Linked DNA regions of Callithrix jacchus. The protein of the gene in region 1 interacts with the protein of each later gene in a pairwise test. Links are inferred from orthologs where the notes say so. Each region holds a gene or a part of one and is shown in the gene's direction. Other genes may lie near its edges.

What was found.
Region 2: the proteins of KHDRBS2 (region 1) and NCOA5 interact in a two-hybrid assay, tested with the Homo sapiens proteins (2 studies listed by BioGRID). The two-hybrid records come from large-scale screens. The link is inferred for Callithrix jacchus from reciprocal best matches to the Homo sapiens genes KHDRBS2 and NCOA5.
Region 3: the proteins of KHDRBS2 (region 1) and CHTOP interact in binary tests that used the Homo sapiens proteins (3 or more experiments, as listed by UniProt). The two-hybrid records come from large-scale screens. The link is inferred for Callithrix jacchus from reciprocal best matches to the Homo sapiens genes KHDRBS2 and CHTOP.
Region 4: the proteins of KHDRBS2 (region 1) and HNRNPR interact in binary tests that used the Homo sapiens proteins (3 or more experiments, as listed by UniProt). The link is inferred for Callithrix jacchus from reciprocal best matches to the Homo sapiens genes KHDRBS2 and HNRNPR.
Region 5: the proteins of KHDRBS2 (region 1) and PRR3 interact in binary tests that used the Homo sapiens proteins (3 or more experiments, as listed by UniProt). The two-hybrid records come from large-scale screens. The link is inferred for Callithrix jacchus from reciprocal best matches to the Homo sapiens genes KHDRBS2 and PRR3.
Region 6: the proteins of KHDRBS2 (region 1) and HBZ interact in binary tests that used the Homo sapiens proteins (3 or more experiments, as listed by UniProt). The two-hybrid records come from large-scale screens. The link is inferred for Callithrix jacchus from reciprocal best matches to the Homo sapiens genes KHDRBS2 and HBZ.
Region 7: the proteins of KHDRBS2 (region 1) and RBM3 interact in binary tests that used the Homo sapiens proteins (3 or more experiments, as listed by UniProt). The link is inferred for Callithrix jacchus from reciprocal best matches to the Homo sapiens genes KHDRBS2 and RBM3.

What each region holds. Positions count from the first base shown.
Region 1 is NC_133505.1:67,513,534-67,517,571, reverse strand, and holds the start of KHDRBS2 (KH domain-containing, RNA-binding, signal transduction-associated protein 2), read left to right. Parts: upstream 1-1,238; 5' UTR 1,239-1,477; coding exon 1,478-1,568; intron 1,569-4,038. UniProt on the Homo sapiens protein: RNA-binding protein that plays a role in the regulation of alternative splicing and influences mRNA splice site selection and exon inclusion. Binds both poly(A) and poly(U) homopolymers. Phosphorylation by PTK6 inhibits its RNA-binding ability.
Region 2 is NC_133506.1:41,307,807-41,311,306, reverse strand, and holds part of NCOA5 (nuclear receptor coactivator 5), read left to right. Parts: intron 1-1,835; coding exon 1,836-2,162; intron 2,163-3,500. UniProt on the Homo sapiens protein: Nuclear receptor coregulator that can have both coactivator and corepressor functions.
Region 3 is NC_133519.1:14,056,570-14,060,069, forward strand, and holds part of CHTOP (chromatin target of PRMT1 protein), read left to right. Parts: intron 1-44; 5' UTR 45-61; coding exon 62-126; intron 127-1,760; coding exon 1,761-1,914; intron 1,915-3,500. UniProt on the Homo sapiens protein: Plays an important role in the ligand-dependent activation of estrogen receptor target genes. May play a role in the silencing of fetal globin genes.
Region 4 is NC_133508.1:60,089,410-60,092,909, reverse strand, and holds part of HNRNPR (heterogeneous nuclear ribonucleoprotein R), read left to right. Parts: coding exon 1-24; intron 25-2,803; coding exon 2,804-2,917; intron 2,918-3,500. UniProt on the Homo sapiens protein: Component of ribonucleosomes, which are complexes of at least 20 other different heterogeneous nuclear ribonucleoproteins (hnRNP). hnRNP play an important role in processing of precursor mRNA in the nucleus.
Region 5 is NC_133505.1:35,355,642-35,357,846, forward strand, and holds part of PRR3 (proline-rich protein 3), read left to right. Parts: intron 1-2,060; coding exon 2,061-2,205.
Region 6 is NC_133513.1:2,437,539-2,440,968, forward strand, and holds HBZ (hemoglobin subunit zeta), read left to right. Parts: upstream 1-1,496; 5' UTR 1,497-1,548; coding exon 1,549-1,643; intron 1,644-2,385; coding exon 2,386-2,590; intron 2,591-2,707; coding exon 2,708-2,836; 3' UTR 2,837-2,930; downstream 2,931-3,430. UniProt on the Homo sapiens protein: The zeta chain is an alpha-type chain of mammalian embryonic hemoglobin.
Region 7 is NC_133524.1:49,137,901-49,141,842, forward strand, and holds the start of RBM3 (RNA-binding protein 3), read left to right. Parts: upstream 1-1,142; 5' UTR 1,143-1,205; intron 1,206-1,537; exon of another isoform or gene 1,538-1,578; intron 1,579-1,789; 5' UTR 1,790-1,806; coding exon 1,807-1,909; intron 1,910-2,185; coding exon 2,186-2,292; intron 2,293-2,937; coding exon 2,938-3,043; intron 3,044-3,132; coding exon 3,133-3,235; intron 3,236-3,649; coding exon 3,650-3,710; 3' UTR 3,711-3,733; intron 3,734-3,942. UniProt on the Homo sapiens protein: Cold-inducible mRNA binding protein that enhances global protein synthesis at both physiological and mild hypothermic temperatures. Reduces the relative abundance of microRNAs, when overexpressed.

The sequences.
Region 1 (4,038 bases):
TATTTAAATACAATAAGATAACTTGGAAAAACGTCAGCGTATCTTATTTGTAGCAAAGTTGGCCTTCATTCCATCACACCAAAAATAATGGGGAGAGAAGAATGGGAAAATGACTGCTTACGAAAAGAGAACCCAAGACTTGCGGAAAGATTGTTTCCTATCATTTGAGGTATTCAAGTTACGTTTTATGGCCGCGTTGTAAGAGGAGGATGGATTTTGCCTCCACGGTTGGTGATATCATGAGGGTTTAAATTTCCTTTAAATAGAGGTGTAATAGATAATACAAAGTAGCTCAGCAACAGTACCTGGTGAAAGTGACTGGCACATCTAAAATGAGGAGAAACGGGAGAATTAGAGGAAACATAGTTACCTATTTTCTTGTCTCTTCTTTCTTCTACACCTTCCTAATTCCTTCACAAAGAGTGACTAATTGATCATACACACACACACACACACATACACACACACACACACACACGTTTTTTAAACATATATATGTTTTTAAATTCAGCCCTCTCAACCTCCCTTCCACAGATAGGGTCTGGGGAAAGGAGGCCAGGATAGGTTATCAGAACTAATTCAATATCCCAATGATTGTACACCGGAAGCATGTTTCTGTACAATATTGCTCCGAGACGCCTTATTTGTTTATCAATGAGCATCCTACTGCGTCCCTGAGATGTAGGTCATCGGAAATACCAGCTGCAGATCACATGCAATCTTCATTATATCTCCAGACCCAGTGCGCTGCTGATTCCTGCGCAACTGGAGTGCGTCTGAGCTATGTGAGGGAAAGCAGACACCTGTGCCTTAGGGACGCAGGTGAAGTCTCAGCTGCCATCCTGAGACTTTCCCTGGCGCTTTTCCACCCTCTGGGCGGCTCACTTCTCATATCCATCTCCCCTGTCCACTTGGACTCAGGCCTGTCTGTTTAACCTGCGCTTTTCCCGCCCTCTCTCTCCTCCGCACCTTAGATGAAGACACAGAGAGCCCCACAGAACTGGGCATGCCTAATAGCCAGGGAAGGCTTGGGCTGCGAGAAGAAAGCGTTTGCACCTTCCAAGCTCCCCTCCCCTCTGCAGCTGCCTCATGCCAGTCAGGCGACCCGACGTGCTCCACGGCCCAATGAAGGCCCGCGGCCCTCGCGAGCGCTCCGCCTCTTCTGGCACCACCACCAATGAGTGGCTGGCGGAGGTGGGCCACGTCCTGTTCCCGCCTCTCCAGTTAAGGCCGCTGGTGTGAGCCGGGGCTCGGCGCGAGCGAGAGACGACGGAAGGGACGGGCAGGTGTGGGCGCGGGGCCACGCTGCCCGACGGCGGGAGTCACAGGCGCTGGGTGCATGGGCCAGTGAGGACGCGCAGAGATCCCCCCGCCGCGCGGAGGAGGAGCAGCGCGGGAGCCAGGCTGTGCCCCGCGACCCTGCATCCGAGCGAGCAGAACCTCGCGCTTCGCCGGGGGACAGTCCGAAGTCCGCGCTATGGAAGAGGAGAAATATTTGCCTGAGCTGATGGCAGAGAAAGATAGCCTGGATCCATCTTTTGTGCATGCATCGCGCCTTTTGGCAGAAGGTAGGACTTGCCCCCACCGATGGGCACTAACCGCCGGCTGCCCATCTGGCCCGCGGCTTGATAAGGGGAGTGAAGTTGGGGAGGGACTCCTGTCGCCGCCTTCGCAGAAACTGTCCCCTGAAGATGCTCCTCTCGGAGCTCGGGCGGACAGACCCGGTTCTTGGTTCTTGGGGAGCACAGCTGTGCTCTTTCTCCACGTCTTAATTTGGAGAAGACCAAAGCTACGGAGATCTAATGGCAGTAGCGATGTGACCTGTTAGGATCATAGATAGAGATACCATGAAGTGTAACGCCGTCCACAGGGACATTTTCACTTTGCAGAGGGAGGGGAAAGCAGTTTGGAAGTAAATGGTAATAAATGTAGTGTTCTAAGAGCTTCTTAGCTACAGATAAGCATTTGTTTTTTTTATTGTTGTTGTTTGTTTTTTGGTTTTTTTTCTTTTCTTTTTTTTTTTTGCTTCATTTAGGAAGTGGTGTTTGATACCCTTTAATCAAAGTCTTTCCTATGGAAAGTGTTAGAATTAAACTATGCATGTTCTTATATATATTTGAATGTGGAAAGCAGAGGCTAAAGTGCTTACACATTTATTTGAAGTGTGATGATTGGGTACTCTGTGAGATATTGGTCCCTGGGAACACTCCATAATTGATCAACTGTTTTACCAAGTGTGCATTTTCTTTTGTGTACCTGCAACGTTAAAGGAGATTTCATTCCCAGAGGAACATATATGTCTTGTCTTTTGCATTGCTTTCAAAGGTTTAAAAACAAAAAAAGACATACGAACTTAACCAAATTACTCCATTTATGTTATAATTATTCCATCTAACTACTAAAGATACCTATGATGTCTGTAGTTATTTACACATACCTTTTTAAAACATCTGCAGATTTTTTTGGATGAATGCTTCATTAATAATGAATTGCTTCATCATCAAATTGTTCACAATGTAATTTTGGAGCTAAGGTTGTTCTGGACTCACCTACAGCAAAAACCTAAAAGGGATAAATTCCTCTACCCAAGCTCCTCAGTATTAAAATATTTTTTTTGAGACTTAGTTGTACCATGGAAGAATAAATTCTGCTCCTCAGTATATGATTCAAATATGCATTAGCTATATATTTTTAATTCATGGATTGTTATTTATAATAATGAAGTGTAAGATATGTTTCTATATTTAAGTGCTAAACAATTAGGATGAGATTTATAGTCAAAACATGGAATATGTGAAATAACTAAATTGTTTTCAGGGAAAAAGCAGATTTTATAGATAAGTGGGAAGTTGAAATACAATTATGCTTACTACTTTCTTGGTTATTGAATAAAAAAATAGAAATTAAAGTGGAAAAGTAAGTCAATAAAAATGAACTTTTGAAAATTTCTTTAAGAAGATAACTACATAAAAATAATAGGAAAACAATGAGTTAATACATGTTTAAGGGTTTTTGAAATGATTTAAAAGGCAAGTCATCAGTATTCAGTAGCCTTTAATATATTTGAATAGTCTTCAGTGTATTTTCTGGAAGTTTCTTCATGTAACTGATAATGTCTTTAAAGTGAAAAAAAAAGTTACAAATTGATCATTTTCTCTGACCTGCTAATTGGAGTTCTATTTGAGACAGGTAGCTCAAAGATTAATTTATCAGTTGTTAATGTGAGTTACTGTACTTGAGGACTGCCAAGCTGAATAAAGGCATACAAGACACTCTTAAAAGAGTGCATAAGTATTTATGTAGCTGGTAAAACAGTCAGTGAAGGCTATGCACTTGGTTCCTTAACATTTTATCTTTCCTAGGAACTTGATTTCTTGATACAATACTTAAGAACATGTTCGAATGTACCTTGTAATTTGATTTTTTCCCAGCAGGGGGAAGCATGCCCTGCTTTTGTAAAGAATTAGAAGGAAAAGCTCCTAAATAGAGAAAAGCTAAGTAAGAAACAAAGAGGGTGCCCAAATTTCAGAGAAATCAGAATGAGGAAAAGAGAATGGAGGAGGTTATAATAATCTTGGGGTACAGAAAGAGTTATGCAAAAGGATGCATAGGTTTTAGATTACTTCTCTAATTGTACGTGGGGCTCTTTATGTGTGCTTATTAAAGAGTGTAAGATAATTGTTCTTGGAATCTCAATAATGTTAATGCATATTTTATGGTATAGCTCTTTCGTTATCTTTCCAAAGGCCACTTGCCAAGATGTCCATACTTTGTTTCAGATCGCTATAGAAGAGTATCATTGAGATGATTTTATTTCTCATACCTGAGAATGCATTGATTGAAGGCAGTGGCTATAAATAAACCTGACATAGATATTCGTTTAGAAAGAAGGTGCATACTGAAGTACATTTCAGTCAGTACTGTGCAGACAGTGTCAAGCCTGAGTGAGTAATAAAAATGATACAGATGATTCAGTTCTTCAGAATGATTTTCCGGAAGCTAATATATATAAAGGCAGTGATATAAACCAATGAGCTT
Region 2 (3,500 bases), on another chromosome or scaffold:
ATGATCCCACTTGTGAATAACCGCTGCACACCAGCCAGGGCAACATAGTGAGACCTCACCCTATAAAAATAAATAAATACATACTGTGGGAAACCAGTGGAGGGTTTTACATATGTAAGAGACAACTGTAGAGTGATCTTTCAGGAGAAAGAAAAGAGGCAGAAACATAGACTGCTTTAGAAGGCTCTTGTTGTGGTTTAAGGGTGAAACGATTATGCGTTGGCCTTCAGTGGTACCAAAGAAGATAAAGGAAAGTGGGCAGAACTGAGAAAGAATGACGAAAATTTGGAAATATGGTTGGGAGGATGAGGCTTTAAGAGAAAGATGACACCCAGTTTCCTGGCTTGTGCAACTGAGTAGGTGGATGTGCCATTTATAGAGATGGGAAGGTTGGGAGGGGAGCATGTTTGTTGGGGAAGGGGAAGATCAAGAGTTCAGGGCAGGTTTTACGGAGAAGGTAATCCTTAAAGTGGGTCAGACATAAGATGTTGTTGTAAAAAGGTAAATGCCAGATCAAGATGAGTAATACAGATAGAAGGTGCCCTGAGCTAAGCAGAAGAGATCAGCAGTTAGGAAGGGTAGGGAAGGTTTCTTGGAAGACACGGGACATAAACTTGCCTGTGTAGATTGGATGGCACTTGGATTAGTGCAGGAAAAATATTCCAAGTATAGAAATCATATAAATAAAAATATCAAGATAGATCATGTCCTGTGAGTGATCTAGACATACTGCATAAGAATGAAGTAGACTTGAGAAGGTTGAATTAGAAATGAGAGGGAGAAATAGGAGTCAGATTTATTAGGATTTCTAACATAGAAGTTGGCATTTTAGAATAGTTAATCTGGTATTTGTGTGTTGAATTAATTGAAATCAAGTAGATTGATTTTTAATTTTATGTTTTATGTATTGGTGTCAAAATAGAAATAAGGACTTGGATTGGACTTACAAATCCAATGGGAATGAAAAAAAATGAACAAGTGACTTTATTGGGTTGGGGGAGGAAAAAGCATAGTTAATATTCAAGAACTTGAAACTTGATAACTGGGAAGATGATTTTGTCAGAAGTAAGAAAGTGGGGAATGGGGCTGATAAGGGTTGGAATCAGAAGTTTTTAATTTTAAATATGTTAAAGAGGAGTTTCCAGTGGGGTGAAATGTCTCATGAAGAACATTGAATCAGAGCAGACAAAGCATATCTGTGACTTCACTGTTCATGTTTCCTTTTTTAAAAACCATCTTGAGCAAAAAGGAATCAGGTTCTGCATAAACCCTCAGATTGAGAGATACCAGTACTCAATAGCTCTGACAAAACAGAGAAACTGGTTGTTTTTGATCCTTTATTTTGTGTATCTTGTAGTACTTATTTTTCCTTAATTTTATTATCCTGCCAACGTAATGTTAAGTGAATTTTCCATACTTTAAAGATAATTCCTTTGATCACTTTTATGAGATTGTGCCATTTGTTCTTTTTTTCTTCATGAGTCTTGCCTCCTTGCTCTGTCCCTCCAACTTTCTACCCCTTGTAAAGTCTCTTTCAAGCAAGTCTGGTGGAAAGACACTTTTACTTTGAAAGTCTGATAAATACTGTTATCCAGTCAAAAACTTTGGCTTTTAGTCGTGCATTCTTTTGATGTCCCGATCTTTTGAGATGTTGCAACCTCTGGACTATTTGCTGACCAGATGGATGACTGTCCTTAAATGTTCAGTCATGTTCTGTTTGGCTGCCCTGTTTTAAAGAAAAATGCTTGGAGGGTGGGGACTTTCTCCTATAAAGAGCTGATGCATTGGCTACTTTCAATTTCTTTGTCTTAGCATCTTCTTGCTACCTCCCACAGGGATCCTTATGGCTTTGGAGACAGTCGAGATTCAAGGCGTGATCGATCCCCAATTCGGGGAAGTCCAAGGAGAGAGTCCAGGGATGGCAGAAATGGCCGGGATGCCCGGGACAGCAGAGACATTCGAGACCCCCGAGACTTGCGGGACCACAGACATAGAGACTTGCGGGATCACAGAGACAGCAGGAGTGTGCGCGGCGATGTTCGGGACATGAGGGATCTTAGAGACTTTCGTGATCTAAGAGACTCTAGGGATTTTCGAGATCAGCGAGACCCCATGTACGACAGATACAGAGACATGAGAGACTCCCGAGATCCGGTGTACAGGTACATATGTAGTTACTCTGCTTGTTTTTTTTTAAGTTCTTTTTATGTATGTTCTACTAAACCAATGGAAAGCTCTGTAAGAGCAGTAATTTTATCAGCCTTATATTTCTAGTGTCTGTTGAGTGGTAGATGTGCTGCTGCTCAATAAATTTAGCTGAATATATGAATGATTTTTAAAATTTTTAACAGAAAATAACTAGTGTTGACAAGGTATGGAGAAATTGAAACCCTCAGAAATTGCAGGTAGGAATGCAAATTGGTATAGCCACCATGGAAAACAGTTTGGGAGTTCCTTAAAAAGTTAAACATAGAATTAACTATATGATCTATCAGTTCCATCCCTGAGTATACACTCAAAAGACTTGAAAAGAGGGACTCAGATAGTTTTACATGAATACGCATAGCAGTACTATTCACAATAACCAAAAGGTAAAAACAATCCAGATGTCTGTCGGCAGATTAATAGATTTTTTTTTTTTTGAGACAAGGTCTTACTTGTTTCCCAGTCTGGAGTGCAGTGGCATGATCACAGATCACTGCAGCCTTGACCTCCCAGGCTTAAGTAATCCTCCCTCCTCAGTCTCCCAAGTAGCTGGGACTATAGCCATATGCCACCACACCTGGCTAATTTTTTTATATAGAGGTGGAGTCTCACTCTGTTGCCCAGGCTGGTCTTGAACTCTTGAGCTAAGTGCTGAGACTACAGGTGTAAGCCACTGCACCCAATGTGGATTTTTTTTTAAGTCGTATGTATATACAATGTGCTATCATTCAGCCTTAAAAAGGAATAAAGTTCTGATCTGTGTTACAGCATGAAGGACGTTGAAAACATGCTAAGTGAAATAAGCCAGACACAAAGACAAATATTGTATGAATTCGCTTACACGAGTTCATATTATATTGTATGATTTATGTTATATGATTTCACTTATATGAAATATCAAGAATAGGCAAATTTATAGAGACAGAAAGTAGATTTAAAGATTACCAGTGGCTGGGGAGAGGGGAGTTATTTGACGAATACAGAATTTCTGTTTGAAGTGAATTTTAGAAATAGATAATGGTGATGGTTGCACAACATTGTGAATATGATGCCACTGAGTTGTATACTTAAAAATTGTGAGGCCAGGCGCAATGGCTCATGCCTGTAATCCCAGCACTTTGGGAGGCTGAGGTGGGTGGATTGCCTGAACTCAGGAGTTCAAGACCAGCCTAGGCAACATGGTGAAACCCCATCTCTAGTAGTAGTAGTAGTAGTAGTAATAATAATAATAATAAATATTGTTAAAATGGCAAATTATTGTTATATACATTTTAGTATATATATATATATTTTTT
Region 3 (3,500 bases), on another chromosome or scaffold:
GGTCACTATAGTGATTTGCTCATTTTACCTATTGCCCTTTGTAGATTCTCGGGATTTGAAGATGGCTGCACAGTCAGCGCCGAAAGTTGTGCTAAAAAGCACCACCAAGATGTCTCTAAATGAGCGGTGAGGCAGCCAACAGCAACTTCAGCTCCTTCCTAAGAAAACATTACTTAACTTGGCCCTGGGGTCCAATGCACAAAGCCAGTTGTAAGCTAAGTACCAACAGAAGGCTACAGACCTCTGTTTTTAGTTGCATCTTGTGTGGTACACAAAACAAATTGGGCGGTTGTTTCAAAACCCCTTATCAGTAGATTTTTATATTAAACTGTGAAATATTTATTTGGTGGGATGTATTTTAAAAGACTCCTAACACCCTCCCTTTTCACATTTTTTTACATTGATACAGGGGTCGTGCAGCACGGTAGCATGGTACCCTGGCTACAGTCGGCTTGCTGCCCAGTCCAAGGCCAGCAGTGTTGTGTCTGGCCTGTAAGAGGCAGGTAGCAAGCCATGAATATGTCCAAAGGCCCTTGAATGTCATTCTTGGACCTTGTAAGAGGCACTTGCTTTGCTTCATTTCACTTTCTTTTCCATTCTGCTTTTAGTTTGTTTTTGTTTTGGATTCTTTTACAGTTAAGTGCTCTTCTCTTCCATTTCATTACACTGCCTTGACAGAAATAATAAGGAGTGTCTTCACAGGCTCATAAATGAACTAGTTTACCTTTCAGAAGTAACTGCTTGGAGTCAGAAAAAGTGATGATTTGAGACTAATGAAAGTAAAGGTATTTAAAGGCAGTTTCTATCTCTGACAACTTTGTTCATTAAGAGTGCCTTTGGGCCGGGTGCGGTGGCTCACACCTGTAATCCCAGCACTTTGGGAGGTCAAGGCTGGTGGATCACGAGGTCAAGAGATCGAGACCATCCTGGTCAACATGGTGAAACCCCGTCTCTACTAAAAATACAAAAATTAGCTGGGCATGGTGGCGCGTGCCTGTAATCCCAACTACTCAGGAGGCTGAGGCAGGAGAATTGCCTGAACCCAGGAGGTGGAGGTTGCGGTGAGCTGAGATCGTGCCATTGCACTCCAGCCTGGGTAATAAGAGCGAAACTCTGTCTCAAAAAAAAAAAAAAAAAGAATGCCTTTGACCAGTGATTTCATTAAGTCGACTTCAGATCGTTGAGATTTACTTAATGTCTATTTTTTTGCCTCTTCTGAAGCATATGTACTTCTCTCCTTACTCTTCGGCTATGATAAGCTAATTATTTTTGTTTGTATGTTCTATGTGATAAATACTTTAAAATGTGATACACTCCTGTAATTTATGAGAGTATGTTAATTGCTGTGAGCTTTGAAGGTGCTCTAGTCCTTCCTCCTATTTGGCCTTGGAATGCACCTTGGATTCCCCTAAGGTTTAGGCTTTCTTCGTTTGTCTTTGAAGCTGCATCTTCTGTCTCTTGTCATTATATCTGCTTATTGCGTGTTTTTCATACCTTCAACCTCTCTAAAAGCCGTTACCTGAGCCCTTGTTATCACTTTCGGTTGAATGTGCTGCACCTAGCTGCATTTCTAAGTTTCTGATTCTTGCAAGTTTGTGGAAACAGAGGAGTCTTTAACCCACATCAGCCTTGATCTAAGTGTACCACTTTACTTAAAAGTTCGTGGGATCTGAAGCTCCTGGTCTAGCAAGCCATGAAAATGCCAATAAATGTTTGTAATAAAGCTTTTATTTAAACATCCATTTTGTTCGACCTTGAAGCTTCACTAATATGCTGAAGAACAAACAGCCGACGCCAGTGAATATTCGGGCTTCGATGCAGCAACAACAGCAGCTAGCCAGTGCCAGAAACAGAAGACTGGCCCAGCAGATGGAGAATAGACCCTCTGTCCAGGCAGCATTAAAACTTAAGCAGGTGAGAGAATGGGTCATAATGCTCCAGAAGCAGCTGGTGATCTCGGTCAGGGAGTCCACTGAGGCTGTCAGGACGTGATGGATGATTACAAGGTGGCTCAGGGCAAAAGCTGAAACTTCTCTGAAAGAAAGAGAAGTTCAGAGAATTCCAATTTTAGCAGGTACCAATAAGTAACTTTTTACTGTTTTTCTCTTTTAGGGAGTTTGCCATCTCTGTGGCCTGTTTCTGTTACCAATGAGTGTTAATCGTTTGTTTTCTGATCCTTAACCCTTAACATTGATTAATGGCTTATTCCCCAGAGAAATTTTATTTCAAGTCCAGGTGCTGTGGCTCACGCCTGTAATCCCAGCATCTTGGGTGGCCAAAGTGGGTAGATCACTTGAGCTCAGGAGTTCGAGAGCATTCTGGCCAACATGGTGAAACCCCATCTCTACTAAAAATACAAAAAATTGGCTGAGCACGGTGGCACACCGCCTCTAGTCCCAGCTACTAGGGTGGCTGAGGTACAAGAATTGTTTGAACCCAAGAGGCAGAGGTTGCAGTGAGCTGAGATCACACCACTGCACTCCAGCCTGGGCAACAAAGCAAAAAAAAAAAAAAAAAAAAAGCACACGGAAACTTTATTTCAGCTTTAGATAATCTCACAGCATCCTTTACTCTCTGATAAATTTTTGTTTTTTTGTTTTGTTTTGTTTTGTTTTTTTTGAGTTTCCCAACTCTTACCCAGGCTGCAGTGCAATGGCGCGATCTCGGCTTACTGCAACCTCCGCCTCCTGGGTTCAGGCAATTCTCCTGCCTCAGCCTTCTGAGTAGCTGGGACTACAGGTACGAGCCACAATGCCCAGCTAATTTTTTGTATTTTTAGTAGAGACGGGGTTTCACCATGTTGACCAGGATGGTCTCGATCTCTTGACCTTGTGATCCACCCACCTCGGCCTCCCGAAGTGCTGGGATTTACAGGTGTGAGCCAACGCGCTCGGTCAACTCTGATAAATTACCCACCAGAAAAATAATTTTATTCTTTTTTCCCTGGTTCAGGGAGTTTGCATGACCTTAGTCAAAGGTTTTCTTTTTGTTTGTTTGTTTTTTGTTTTTTGTTTTTTTGTTTTGAGACGGAGTTTCTCTCTTGTTACCCAGGCTGGAGTGCAACGGCGCGATCTCAGCTCACCGCAACATCCACCTCCTGGGTTCAGGCAATTCTCCTGCCTCAGCATCCTGAGTAGCGCCACCATGCCCAGTTAATTTTTGTATTTTGAGTAGAGACGGGGTTTCACCATGTTGACCAGGATGGTCTCGATCTTTTGACCTCGTGATCCACCGGCCTCGGCCTCCCAAAGTGCTGGGATTACAGGCGTGAGCCACCGCGCCCGGCCAGTTAAAGGTTTTCAATGGTAAAATATACAGAGTAGAATGACCCTCATTTCCACAGCACCTTAAGTTTTACCAGTAAAGTGGAGCAAGAATACTGAGTAATTTGAGTTGGGGGTTCTTTCAGATTTGCAGTAGGAGATAATTCTATTCAGACCTGAAATAAAACCTCCTCTTTATTATCCATAGAATTTATATGCAAGTCCGGACAGTGGCCA
Region 4 (3,500 bases), on another chromosome or scaffold:
GGACCTGATGAAGCGAAGATCAAGGTAAAACTTGACTTGGGTAGTTGCAATGAAATTACATTTAATGATGAGGTCAAATGCTTCTTTTCATGTTTCCCAGAGAGTTTCACTTTTAAAAATTAGTGTTTAGAAATGAAATAATTTAGAGAAATTACATAAGAAGGATAATTTTGGGGGTCAACACTCAATTGTATGTTTAACGAAAAGCCCTAATTCATATTCTCCCTCATTCATGGCCATGAATGATGTAGAGACAGACTCTTGCTCTGTTGTCCAGGCTGGAGTACAGTGACGTGATTTCAGCTCACTGCAACCTCTGCCTCCCGGGTTCAAGCAATTCTCTTGCCTCAGCCTCCTAAGTAGCTGGGATTACAGGTGCATGTGAGTGTGCTTGGCTGATGTTTGTATTTTTAGTAGAGATGGGGTTTCACCATGTTGACCAGGCTGGTCTTGAACTCCTGACCTCAGGGGATCCATCTGCCTAAGCCTCCCAAAGTGCTGGGATTACAGGCATGAGCCACCATGCCTGGCCTGAACAACGTACGTTTATTGATGATTCTGCTGGTAGTTTCTTGGATTGATCCAATAATGTCTCTTGGTTCAGTTATTTTCCAGGCACTTTGTTTCTTTTCTCTTGATAAAAAGATGTTGTTATAACTGCTTTCCTCCTTTTGAATTTTCAGTTACTTCAGTTTATTTGTAAAATGGGAAGAGTAATAGTAACTACCTCACAGAGTTATTTAAGGATTAAATGACTTAACATATATAAAGCACTTAGAATAATGCCTGGAATATAGTAAGAACTATTTAACCATGAGCCATTATTATTACCATTTTGTTACTTAGATAAACAGCTTTGAAAGGTAAATATACGCTTTTAGTGAAAGACCAGTAAACCTGATTCCTTATAATGGATACTCTGTCTTACTGTAGTGATGTACTTTTGTTTTGTTTTGTTTTTGAGACAGAGTCTTGCTCTGTTGCCCAGGCTGGAGTGCAGTAGTGCGATCTCAGCTCACTGTAACCTCTGTCTCCTGGGTTCAAGCGATTCTTCTGTCTCCCTCTCCTGAATAGCTGGGACTACAGGCATGCACCACCATACCCAGCTAATTTTCTTTTTATCTTTTGGTAGAGACGGGGTTTCACCGTGTTGGCCAGGCTGGTCTCGATCTTTTGACCTCAGGGAATCTGCCGACCTCAGTCTCCCAAAGTGCTGGGATTACAGGTGTGAGCCACTATGCCTGGTCTGTGATAGACTTTTTAATTTGAAATAGATATTTTATGTTGAAGTTATTTCTATTATTATTACATTGTAATATGTAATGAAATAATTATACAACTCACCATAATGTAGAATCAGTGGGAGCCCTGAGCTTGTTTTCCAGCAACTAAATTGTCCCATCTGGGTGTACTGGGAAATAGTGACAGATCTTAAGGCATTATATTCTCATAAGGAGCCTGCAACCTAGATCCTTCGTATGTGCAGTTCACGATAGGGTTCACGCTCCTATGAGAATCTAATTCGGCCGCTGATCTGACAGGAGGTGGAGCTCACAGCTCAGGCAGTAATGCCAAAAATAGAGAGGAGGAGGAGCAGCTGTAAATATAGATACAGCTGCTATGCAGCCCAGGCCACTACTTATCCATGGCCTAGGGGTTGGGGGAGCCCTGTTTTCTATTGCATTTATTTCTATGTTTAAAAGTAGAGAGCTCTGTTTCAGTTGAAAGTGGAGGAATGGAAGGCCGAAGACATGCATCCCTGTGGAACCCTAGTTCATTGAACTTGATGATATCTAAAGTCTCTTGTAGTTCTGACATTGTCTAATTTAAAAAACCTGAATTGTAAAATTCTCTCTTTTCTACATAGATTGCATTTCTTTGTTTGCCATTGTGTGTTTTGTTCTGTAGGCTCTTTATGTAAATGTTGCCTCAATTATAACATAAGCTCCTTGAGAGCAAAGACTTTATCTTCTTTTCTTTGATTCCTCTTAATGCCTAATAGAATGTAAGGAAGGTTGGTAATCAGGAAACACAAGATTTTACATATTTTTTGAAACTTGACTAATTTGGTAATTGCCAAATGTTTTTAGTCTGTACTGTGTGATTCTTGTCTGATTGTCTGATTCTTGTGGTGCTTATGATATGGCAGGAGTATAAAACAAAAGGATCAAACAAAGCTTCAATTATGGGACCTTGAGTACACTAGAAAGACAGTGGGGGCTGGTCGCGGTGGCTCACACCTGTAATCCCAGCACTTTCGGAGGCCAAGACAGGCAGATTACTTGAGGCCAGGAATTCCTGACCAGCCTAGCCAACATGGTGAAACCCTGTCTCTACTAAAAAGAAGAAAAATTAGCCGGGCGTGGTGGACATGCCTATAATCCCAGCTACTTGGGAGGCTGAGGCAGGAGAATCGCTTGAACCGGGAGGCATAGGCTGCAGTGAGCTGAAATGATGCCATTGCATACTCTAGCCTGGGTAACAGAGCAGGATTCCATCTTAGGGAAAAAAAAAAAAAAGAAATTAGGAAGAGAGGGATGTGAGTAATAGTAAACAAGAGAAGCTGCATGAAGGAGGTAAGACTTATGCTAATTTTTTGAGGATAGAGAACATTTTATTTGAAAAGACTCGCTGGTAGAAACATGTATGGGGAACTAGTGTGAATTTTGACTTTTTTTTTTTTTAACCTAATCATAAAAATATATTTCCTAGGAAGTTGGAGTACTTTGGAAAAGATTAATACATTGATGCTTGTGTTTGAAATTTAGTATTCAAGTATAAAGAGATGTATAATTATCTCTAGGCCTTGCTTGAGAGAACTGGTTATACTCTGGATGTAACCACGGGACAGAGGAAGTATGGTGGTCCTCCACCAGACAGTGTGTACTCTGGCATGCAACCGGGAATTGGAACAGAGGTAAGTGTTCTTTAGCTGTTTGCCAAGATCTTTCCAGGTTGAAAAGTGTTTTGTCTACTATGTAGATACTGTACAGAGGGGGAAAATACTTGATCCCTTTCAAACTGTACCTGCTATTATTTTTTAGATATCCATGTGTATGGATGGGAGTTTTGCTGCCATTATGAGCATGGATAATGTTGTGACTAGTAGATATCCACACACTTTATATCAGAATATAATATAGAGTTCTTGGAACGGGTTGCTAAAACCATGCTACTAGCAACACATCATTTTATATATTTGGAGTAAAATTATTTGGAAGATTGAGTTGCTTTATTCTGTTTTTTTTTCCTGCCCCTGAGATGGAGTTTCACTCTTGTTGCCCAGGCTGGAGGGCAGTGGCGCGATCTCAGCTCATTGCAGCCTCCACTTCCGGGGTTCAAGTGATTCTCTTGCCTCAGCCTCCCCAGTAGCTGGGATTACAGGTGTGTGCCACTACACCTGGCTAATTTTGTATTTTTAGTAGGGATGGGGTTTCACCATGTTGGTCAGGCTGGTCTTGAACTCCTGACCTCAAGTAATCCACCCGCCTTGGCCTCCC
Region 5 (2,205 bases), about 32 Mb from region 1:
TACTGCTGCTGAGATTATAAAATGGTAAACCTACTATAGAAAACAATATGAAGATGTTCCTCTAAAACAATTAAAAATAGAACTACTCAGAACTCCTGCTTCTGGATATATATCCAAAAAAAAATGGAAAACAGGGTCTTGAGATTTGCAGACTCATGTTCATAGCAGCAACCCACATATCCAATGATGAAAAAAAAATGTGGTGTGTACATACAATGGAATATTATTCAGCCTTATGATGGAAGAAAATGCTGTCATATACTACAACATGGATGAACTTTGAGGACTTTATGTTAAGTAAAGACATAGTGTATGATTCCACTTATGTGAGGAGTCTGAAGTCAAATTCAGGGGCCAGGCATGGTGGTTCATGCCTGTAATCCCAGCACTTTGAGAGAGCGAGGCAGGCGGATCACTGAAGGTCAGGAGTTTGAGAGCAACCTGGCCAACATGGGGAAACCCCATCTCTACTAAATACAAAAATTAGCCCAGCATGGTGGTACACGCCTGTAATCCCAGCTACTCAGGTGGCTGAGGCACAAGAATTGCTTAAACCTGGGAAGTGGAGGTTGCAGTGAGCCGAGATAACACCTCTGCACTCCAGCCTGGGCAGCAGAGCAAGACTTTGTCTCAAAAAAAATTATAAAAATAAAGTCAAATTCAAAGAAACAGAATGGTGGTTACTAGAGGCTGGGGGAAGGAAGATGGAAGAAGGGGAGTTTTGTTTAATGGGAACAGTTTCATTCAGTTTTGCAAGATAAAAAACTTTTGGAGATCTGTTTCACAACAATATGAATATATGTAACTACTGAACTATATATACACTTAAAGACAGGTAAGATGGTAAATTTTATGTGTTTTTTAGCACAATAAAAAGCAAACAAGATGAGACATGATGACTCATACCTATAATCCTAGCACTTTGGGAGACCAAGGTGGGAGGATCATTTGAGCCCAGGAGTTCAAGACCAGCCTGGGCAATGTGGCAAGACCCAATCTCTCATTTAAAAAATTAAAACACCACTTTTCACACTCACCAGAATGGTAAAAATTAAAAAACAATACCAAGTGCTGTCAAGGCTAAAGGACAACTGCTGGTGAGAGTGCAAATTGGTACAACCACTACGGAAAAAAGTTTGGGCTCATGCCTGTAATCCTAGCACTTTGTGAGGCCGAGGTGGGTGGACTGCCTGAGCTCAGCAGTTTGAGACCAAGCCTGAGCAGCATGGCGAAACCCCGTCTCTACTAAAATACAAAAAGTTAGCTGGGTGTGGCAGTGTGCACCTGTAGTTCCAGCTACTCAGGAGGCCGAGGCAGGAGAATTGCTTGAACCCGGGAGGCAGGGGTTGCAGTGAGCCAAGATCATGCCACTGTACTCCAGCCTGGGCAACACAGTGAGACTCCATCTCCAAAAAGAAAGTTTGGCATTATGCATGAAACTTGAGCATAACGTACACTCTATGACCCAGCAATACCTCTACTGCATATATACTCAACAGAAATGCATACATATGTGTAACAACATGTATAAAAATGTTTATAGTGGAATTTCTCGTTATAGCCCCAAACTGGATACCACCCACAAGTCTATCTGCAGTAGAATGGATAAATAAGTTGTTGTGTATGCATGCAATGGGATACTACACTGCAGCGAAATGAATGAACTACTTCTACAGGCAACCTGGATGAATCACACAAACATGATGTTGAGCGAAAGGAGCCAGACATAAAAGAATGCAGACTGTATGATTCCATTTTTTGTGAAGTTCAAAAACAGGCAAAAACTAACCTATGCTGTCAGGATAGTGGTTACCTTTGGGGAGGAGGGTGGATAGTGGGAAAAGGGGCACAAGGGGAGGATCTACTGAGGTGCTAATAAGGCCTTATCATTTGGTGGCGGAAAGTCAAGTGTGTCTACTTTGTGATAATTGGGTTGTGCACTTAAAACTGGTGTGTGTTTATGTATGCTGTTCTTCAATAAAAAATTTTTTTAAAAATCAGGGCTTATTAGGATTAAGCTGCCCATTGGTCACCTTTTTTTTTTTTTTTCCTCTCTCCAGCTTTTCACAGAGGTCCTCCAGGATCAAGGGGACCATTGATTCCACCACTGCTGAGCCTCCCACCTCCTCCATGGGGTAGAGGCCCAATTCGGGGAGGCCTTGGCCCCAGGTCTAGCCCATATGGTCGTGGTTGGTGGGGAGTCAA
Region 6 (3,430 bases), on another chromosome or scaffold:
CAGAATAGAGTCTGGAAATTGACCCACAAACCTATGCCCCATTCATTTTTTATATAATAAGTGTGAGAAGCCAACTGAACAGAAAGAGTATAACCTTTTCAACAAATAGTTGAAATGGACCAGCAAGGAGGACCGGGCAGTGCTGGAAGGGACTTCCTGGAAGCCTGGAAGGAGAGTCTCCCATCAGCTAAGCCCAGAGGGCATCAAAGGTTGCTGTTGCCCTCAACCCCTGCCGATCTCATCATCTCACATCTCAGCCATGGAAGAATGAGTTCCCTTACACGAGTAAAACATCGAGTACAGTGTTTTCTAGAGCAATTGGACATCCGTAGGTAAAAATACAAGCAAAGAGAAGAACCTGGACCTGCCCTTCACACCTTAGGCAAACATCATCTCAAAATGCATTGTATGGCTCAATATAAACACAAACTACACAACTTTAGGAGAAAACATAGGTGAAAATCTTTGAGTTCTATGGTTAGGCAGAGAGTTCCTAGGCATGGCACTAAGTAAGATTCATTTAACATTTTTTGATAAACTGGACTTCATTAAAACTTTTGCTGGCTGGATGTGGTGGCTCATGCCTGTAATCCCAGCACTTTGGGAGGCCGAGGCAGGTGGATCACGAGGTCAGAAGTTCAAGACCAGCCTGGCCAAGATGGTGAAACCCTGTCTCTATTAAAAATACAAAAAATAGCCGGGTACAGTGGCAGGCAATGTAATCCCAGCTACTCGGGAGGCTGAGGTGGAAGAATGGCTTGAAACAGGGAGTCAGAGGTTTCAGTGAGCTGAGATTGTGCCATTGCACTCCAGCCTGGGCAACAAAGCAAGATTCTATCTAAAAAAAATTAGAAGGAATATTTGCCTCATTACATTCCCATAACTAATGTGGAAAGCAATATCGCACTCCCTATTAGCACATGATACTAGATGCATTCAACTTTCTCCCTGGACCTGCTGCCTCCGCCTGCTGGTCAGGGGATAGACTCAGTACATCTCCCCTCAGGGCCAGGTGGACGGAACTCTTGCTTTCTTGGAGGAAACCCAGGAATCACAGAGACAGAGGGGAAGGGGACGGACTGCCGTGTGGCTGGGCAGGGCTGCTTGAGGAACATGTTAGCAAACCACAGGCACGTTCCCAGGAGGCTGCTTGCTGAGCCCTGCTCCTCTGGTCTCCCCCAAGTGGTCATTCTGAAATGGATAAGGACGGTGCAGGACTGGACTGCAAATGCAGGACTGACCTCCTGGGAGGGTGGGGCCCCTATCTCTCCTAGAGTCTGGTCAGACTCTGCCCAACACCCCCTCTAAGGCCACAGGAGAGGAGCAGGAATGATAGCCCCCAAAACCCAGTCCCACCGAGCCCTGAGGGGCCCTTTGTCACTCCATCTGATAAGAAACCCCACCCCTGCAGCCCCCTCCCCTCACCTGACCAATGGCCACAGCCTGGCTGGGCCCAGCTCCCTGCATATAAGGGGACCCGGGGGCTGAGCACCACCAAGGCCAGTCCTGAGCAGGCCCGACAGCAGTGCAGCCGCCCACCCTGCCGCCATGTCTCTGACCAAGACTGAGAGGACCATCATTGTGTCCATGTGGGCCAAGATCTCCACGCAGGCCGACACCATCGGCACCGAGACTCTGGAGAGGTGAGTGTCACACAGGGGACTGCCAAGAGGGACCAGAGGGAGGCCAGGCCTGTGAGTGGGGCAGTGAGGAGGGGACCCTGGGGGGGACTTGGGGAGGGAATAGTGGGGAGGGGACAGTGCAGAGGGGACAGTGAGGAAGGGACATCGGGGAGGGGACAGTGGGACAGATAGCCTTCCCTGTCAGTGAGGAGAGCAGGGTGAAGACGGTACGATTAGGAATCGCACAGGCATCTGGGCTGGCTGAGGCCTGGGGCACAGGCCCAGGTTCTGAGGAGCCGAGGGTGAAAAATCTCACTCTAGGTACAGCCTCTAAAGTCCCAGCATCTGAACCCCTGGGAGGGGCCAGGGAGCTTTTCCTTCCCTGGAACACTGCTGGGAGGTCAGGAGCCTGCAGAAGGGGTGGCGGGTGACCCGGTCCAGGACTGGCAAGGAGGCCCTGTGACCAGAGGAGAGGGTGGAGCGCCGGAGGCCCCACCAGGCGGAGGGCGGTGGATTTGGGGACCAGGCCGCACAGAACCCGTGGGAAGCAGCGACCAGCCGGGAGCCGCAGCGGCCTCGGGGTCTCCGGCTCAGGGCAGCCTCGGAGGGGCAGCTGCCTGGGCACGTGGGCACCGCGAGGAGGGGCTGGGGCCTGCTGCGAGGTCGCCGTCGGGTCCTGGAGCTCGGAGAGGGCCGCAGGGCGCGTGGGCCGTGGCGGGAGGCGGCGCTGCCGGGAACTCACGACGCCCGCCCCGCGCGCCAGGCTCTTCCTCAGCTACCCGCAGACCAAGACCTACTTCCCGCACTTCGACCTGCACCCGGGGTCGGCGCAGCTGCGCGCGCACGGCTCCAAGGTGGTGGCCGCCGTGGGCGACGCGGCGAAGAGCATCGACAACATCGGGGCCGCCCTGTCCAAGCTGAGCGAGCTGCACGCCTACATCCTGCGCGTGGACCCGGTCAACTTCAAGGTGCGCGGGGCGGGGCGGGGCGGGGCTGGGGCGGGGCGGGGCGGGGCTGGATGGAGGCGGGGTTTGGGGCGGGGCCCGCTCCAGGCCCCACCCCTCACAGAGCGGCCCCGCCCCCAGCTCCTGTCCCACTGTCTGCTGGTCACCCTGGCCGCGCGCTTCCCCGCCGACTTCACCGCCGAGGCCCACGCCGCCTGGGACAAGTTCCTGTCGGTCGTATCCTCTGTCCTGACCGAGAAGTACCGCTGAGCGCCGCCTCCGCGACCGCCAGGACCGGCTGTGTCCCCTCCCCTGTCCTTCACCCTCCTGCAGTTCCTCCCCTGACTCCAATAAACGGATGAGGAAGGACCGACCTGGGCTGTGTGTTCTCAGTTTTGGAGGGAAGGAGGGGAGAAGCTGAGTGACGGGTCCGGGGGGTTTCGCAGGAACTCGGTCATCCCCGCCGTCTTCGCGGCCTAGAGGTCATCTGGGGGTGGGTGCTGTGGGGAGGTTCTCGCCCCGGAGCACCGGAGCTGCAGCCCGGGAGGAGCCCCGCAGTCCCGGGCCGGCCCACGGCGTCTCCTGGGGTTCTCGGGTCCGACGGGCGTTTGTGCGTCTCGAGGCTTCTCAAATCGCCCCAAGATTGGCACTTCACTTAGCGTGTCGGGAGTGCGTGGGAACTCAGGGAACTTTTCCGCAAAGCCACATGCCCTAATCCCGGGACTCCGGCAGCTGCGGGGGTCCCTGAGGCTGGCCCCTCCCTACCCGACTCCTAAGAGAATGGGGGGATTCCTGCCCCGTGCTCACTCTCGGGTTCCTCCTGCATAGCAGTAACTTTGCCCGAGGGGAGTAATTACAGACGCC
Region 7 (3,942 bases), on another chromosome or scaffold:
GCAGTGGGCTCAGACACCACTTGCTTGGGATAAGCCTATTGTGTATTGCGAAAGTCCCTTCTGTGAATCAAGGTCTCAGTTACTTTTGAAGAGAGCAAAAATTGGATTAGGATTTGCCTCTGAAGATCTTAGAATCCTGTTTTGTAAAAGGCATCTCAGGCAGTCTACTGGTGAGAAAATTAAGGGGCTGGCTTCACGGGGGAGTCAGACAAGGATGAGGACTGAAGTCAGAGATGAGACGGAATGATGCCAGGGAAAAGGGTCCCATGACAGATGGCTAGATGTTGAGCACAGAGGAGAAAAAATAAGAGTTAGGGTCAAACCTGAAAACGTAGGGTCTGACATCATGGACTGTGAAGGGTGATGACATTAGTGATGGTGGGGGAATACAATGTTGGGCGTTTGAAGGATATGAGGTTAAGGAACTAGAAGATGAGCCGGGCATGGTGGCTCATGCCTGTAATCCCAGCACGTTGGGAGGCTGAGGCGAGCGGATCACGAGGTTAAAAGATCGAGACCATCCTGCCCAACACGGTGAAACCCGTCTCTACTAAAAACATCAAAATTAGCTGGGCGTGGTTGCGCGCGCCTGTAGTCCCAGCTACAGGCTGAGGCAGGAGAATTGCATGGGGCGGCGGAGGTTGCAGTGAGCCGAGATCGTGCCACTGCACTCCAGCCTGGCGACAGAGCAAGACTCTGTCTCAAAAAAAAAAAAAAAAAAAAGAATTAGAAGATGAAGGAGGTTGACATCAGAGAATGGCAGGGACCTAGAGCAAAACAGCTGCGATGGTGAGGAAGACATCAGATCCAGCGGGGGAAATGATGGTAAGGACGGGAGGACGATGTCAGGGACGGCAGGTAGTATAAGAGTGAGGTTTCTGTGTGGAAGGGATGAAGACGCTCAGCCGGTTGTTGGGGGTGGATGCTGACATTTAGGGTGCACCAGTTTTGGAAAAGTCGACACCATTTCCGGAAACGCGCAGAGAGCATTGCCCCCTTTGCTTTGCCGTCCCTTCCTCTCCCTACCACCACGCCCCTTCTGGCCTCAGCCAATCAGCACGCACGCCGGAACGCGCAGGGTGAACGGTCTGTGACGTCCTCACTACGCACGCTTTATCAGTCGTCTTCCCGCGCAGCTCCATCTCTGTTTTCTCTGCTCTTCCGACCTCTCTGTGTGTTCGGCTTCTTTACGTTCTAATTTCCAGGTAAGCTGCGTATGTCCTGCGCAATGGCAGCTCCTAGCCACATATGCGCCGCGCCGCCCGAGACCAGGGGATAGCGAGTAGGGAGAATAAAGGCCAGTGACACGTAGGCTTGGCTTTTTCTGGGGCGTGGGGTCCCATGCTCGGAGGTGAAACGTTTCGGTTGGTGGAAAGCCGGCGCGCCGCGTTTGAGTGTGAGGCGTACCGGGAGGGCATGGTGGCGTCAGTGGTGTCAGTAACCACGCGACAGCCTACACTTGATTTCCTTTCCTCACGTGGCGACCGCCATCTTGTTCCGCCAGCGTCGAGGGAAGGCAAGGATGCTCTGGGCTTGCGCAGTGGCACAAAATGACGGGTGTGGCGGCTGTGAATTTGTGTGAGGATGCGCGATGGTGGTTCCCTAATGGTGGCGGCGCTGAGCCAGCCCCGCAGATTGCCACCTTATTGGCCTCCTTTCTCAGCCTCTCTCTAGTTATCCATATTTTGTTCCTCTTTCTTGTCTATTTTCTGTGCTTCTCTGCCTTTCGCTGTTTTCTCACTTCTCCATTTTTTCTTCCTTTCTGCCACCATTCTTCTTCTTCTTACAGGACTTGAACTCGCTGCCATGTCCTCTGAAGAAGGAAAGCTTTTCGTAGGGGGGCTCAACTTTAACACCGATGAGCAGGCACTGGAAGACCACTTTAGCAGCTTTGGGCCTATCTCTGAGGGTGAGATGGGCCAGATTGACAACGGGGGTTGGTGAGGAAAGTCTGGGACCCTTGTATTTCAAAGAATATTAAGCGAAAAGGCAGAACCCCAAGCCTCCAAATTCTTTTTTTCCCTAAACTTACAGTGTCGACTAAGGCTGAGGAAAACATCTTTGGAATTGGTAGGAGGGCTCCTTTTTCCCTACCTACCGCCATTCCCTTTTCAGGCCACCCTTTGCTACTTGACCTTTGTGGTGCTGACTCGTCCACATTGTTCCATTTTTCTCTTCCTCACAGTGGTTGTTGTCAAGGACCGGGAGACTCAGCGGTCCAGGGGTTTTGGTTTCATCACCTTCACCAACCCAGAGCATGCTTCAGTTGCCATGAGAGCCATGAACGGAGAGGTGGGGCATCCTATCTGCAGAGGGGCCTTACCCCCATCTGCAGCTTCCTTCATTCTGTTTTTACCCTCTGTCTGCTCGGGGCAGCGTGGCCACCAAGCCCCGCAGTGTCCACTCACAGGAGCATGACTGCCTTCTGTTCTAGGGGGTGGAGGGCAGCGGCATACAGAGCCTGGCCGCCTGGGAGGCGACGACTGGTCCTGCATGAGGCCGAGAAGCCACCTGTGGATGGTTGACCTGCCTTGGGCTTAGGTAGTAGAGTCTGCAGACCTGTGGGCCTGGCCGGGAGAGGACCTCGTGAGTCTTCTGACATGGACTCTGAAGCCTCAAACCAAGAGAGGTGTCTGTCTAACCCTGATAGTGGGGCAGCTTAGAGGAGTGGGGAGGAGAACTCAGCCTGAGTTCAGTCAAGATGTAAGTAGTAGCAAAGGGAACACGGTGCTTTCAGGTCATTTTATGTGGGATTCTGTAGCTCCTGATAAATCCATTCTTGTGTAAAGGAGCTTATTCTGGAATGTGGCACCACCCAGAACCTGTTGCCCAGCAGGAATTTTTGGGTTCTTTTGCCCACTTTGCCCATGCCTGCTCTTCCCTCACCACTGCCCTGATGGACTGTCAACCCATCCTCCTTGTGTCTCCCACACGTAGTCTCTGGATGGTCGTCAGATCCGTGTGGATCACGCAGGCAAGTCTGCTCGGGGAACTAGAGGAGGTGCCTTTGGGGTCCATGGGCGTGGTCGCAGCTACTCTAGAGGTGAGTGCAGTGATAAGTTTGATCATGGGGTGAGAGGGAGAATTGCCTATGTGTGGATAACTGCCATTTAAATATTTTTTCTTCTGTAGGTGGTGGGGACCAGGGCTATGGGAGTGGCAGGTATTATGACAGTCGACCTGGAGGGTATGGATATGGATATGGACGTTCCAGTTCCAGAGACTATAATGGCAGGTGCGTAGCCAAGGGGTTGGGGTGTTTTGCTATTGCTTTCGTCTCCTTAAGAACTCAGTGCCTGGGTGTTCATATGTACCACACCCTGTTTTTACTAACGTGTGCTTAAAATGAATATGAAGTATTTTGAGTTAATTGTGTGGTCATACAGTTGCAAGATGATAAAGTATACTATATGTTAGTTGTGCTGTGTGGGTTAGTTATGTAACTATATTGTTTTAACATGTAATATTTAATATACTACATATAAATTGTATGCCATGAAACTTTAAGCATATGTGACATATGCTTAACATACCCTGTTTTTGATATCTAAAGTTTATATGTTATGGTACATACTATAAAATGTGATGCATACAATTAATGTCAGTGGTGTTTAATGCAGTCTTGGAAATCTGTGTTTTTTTCTTTCAGAAACCAGGGTGGTTATGACCGCTACTCAGGGGGAAATTATAGAGACAATTACGACAACTGAAATGAGACATGCACATAATGTAGGTGAGACTTGGATATCGGCATTGAATGAACCTGTTTGTCACACTCTGTCATCCTATTTGTCACACTCTCATGACCCTCTCACCTTTTCTGGCAAGACTACTCTGCCCTCATATCTCACTCAGCCAACCTACCAAACACCACTCCTAGGTCTTCCTTGCTCTCAGGTGCATGTCAGAGCTAGTCTGCTAGGGGGTGGGATCTGAAAACCC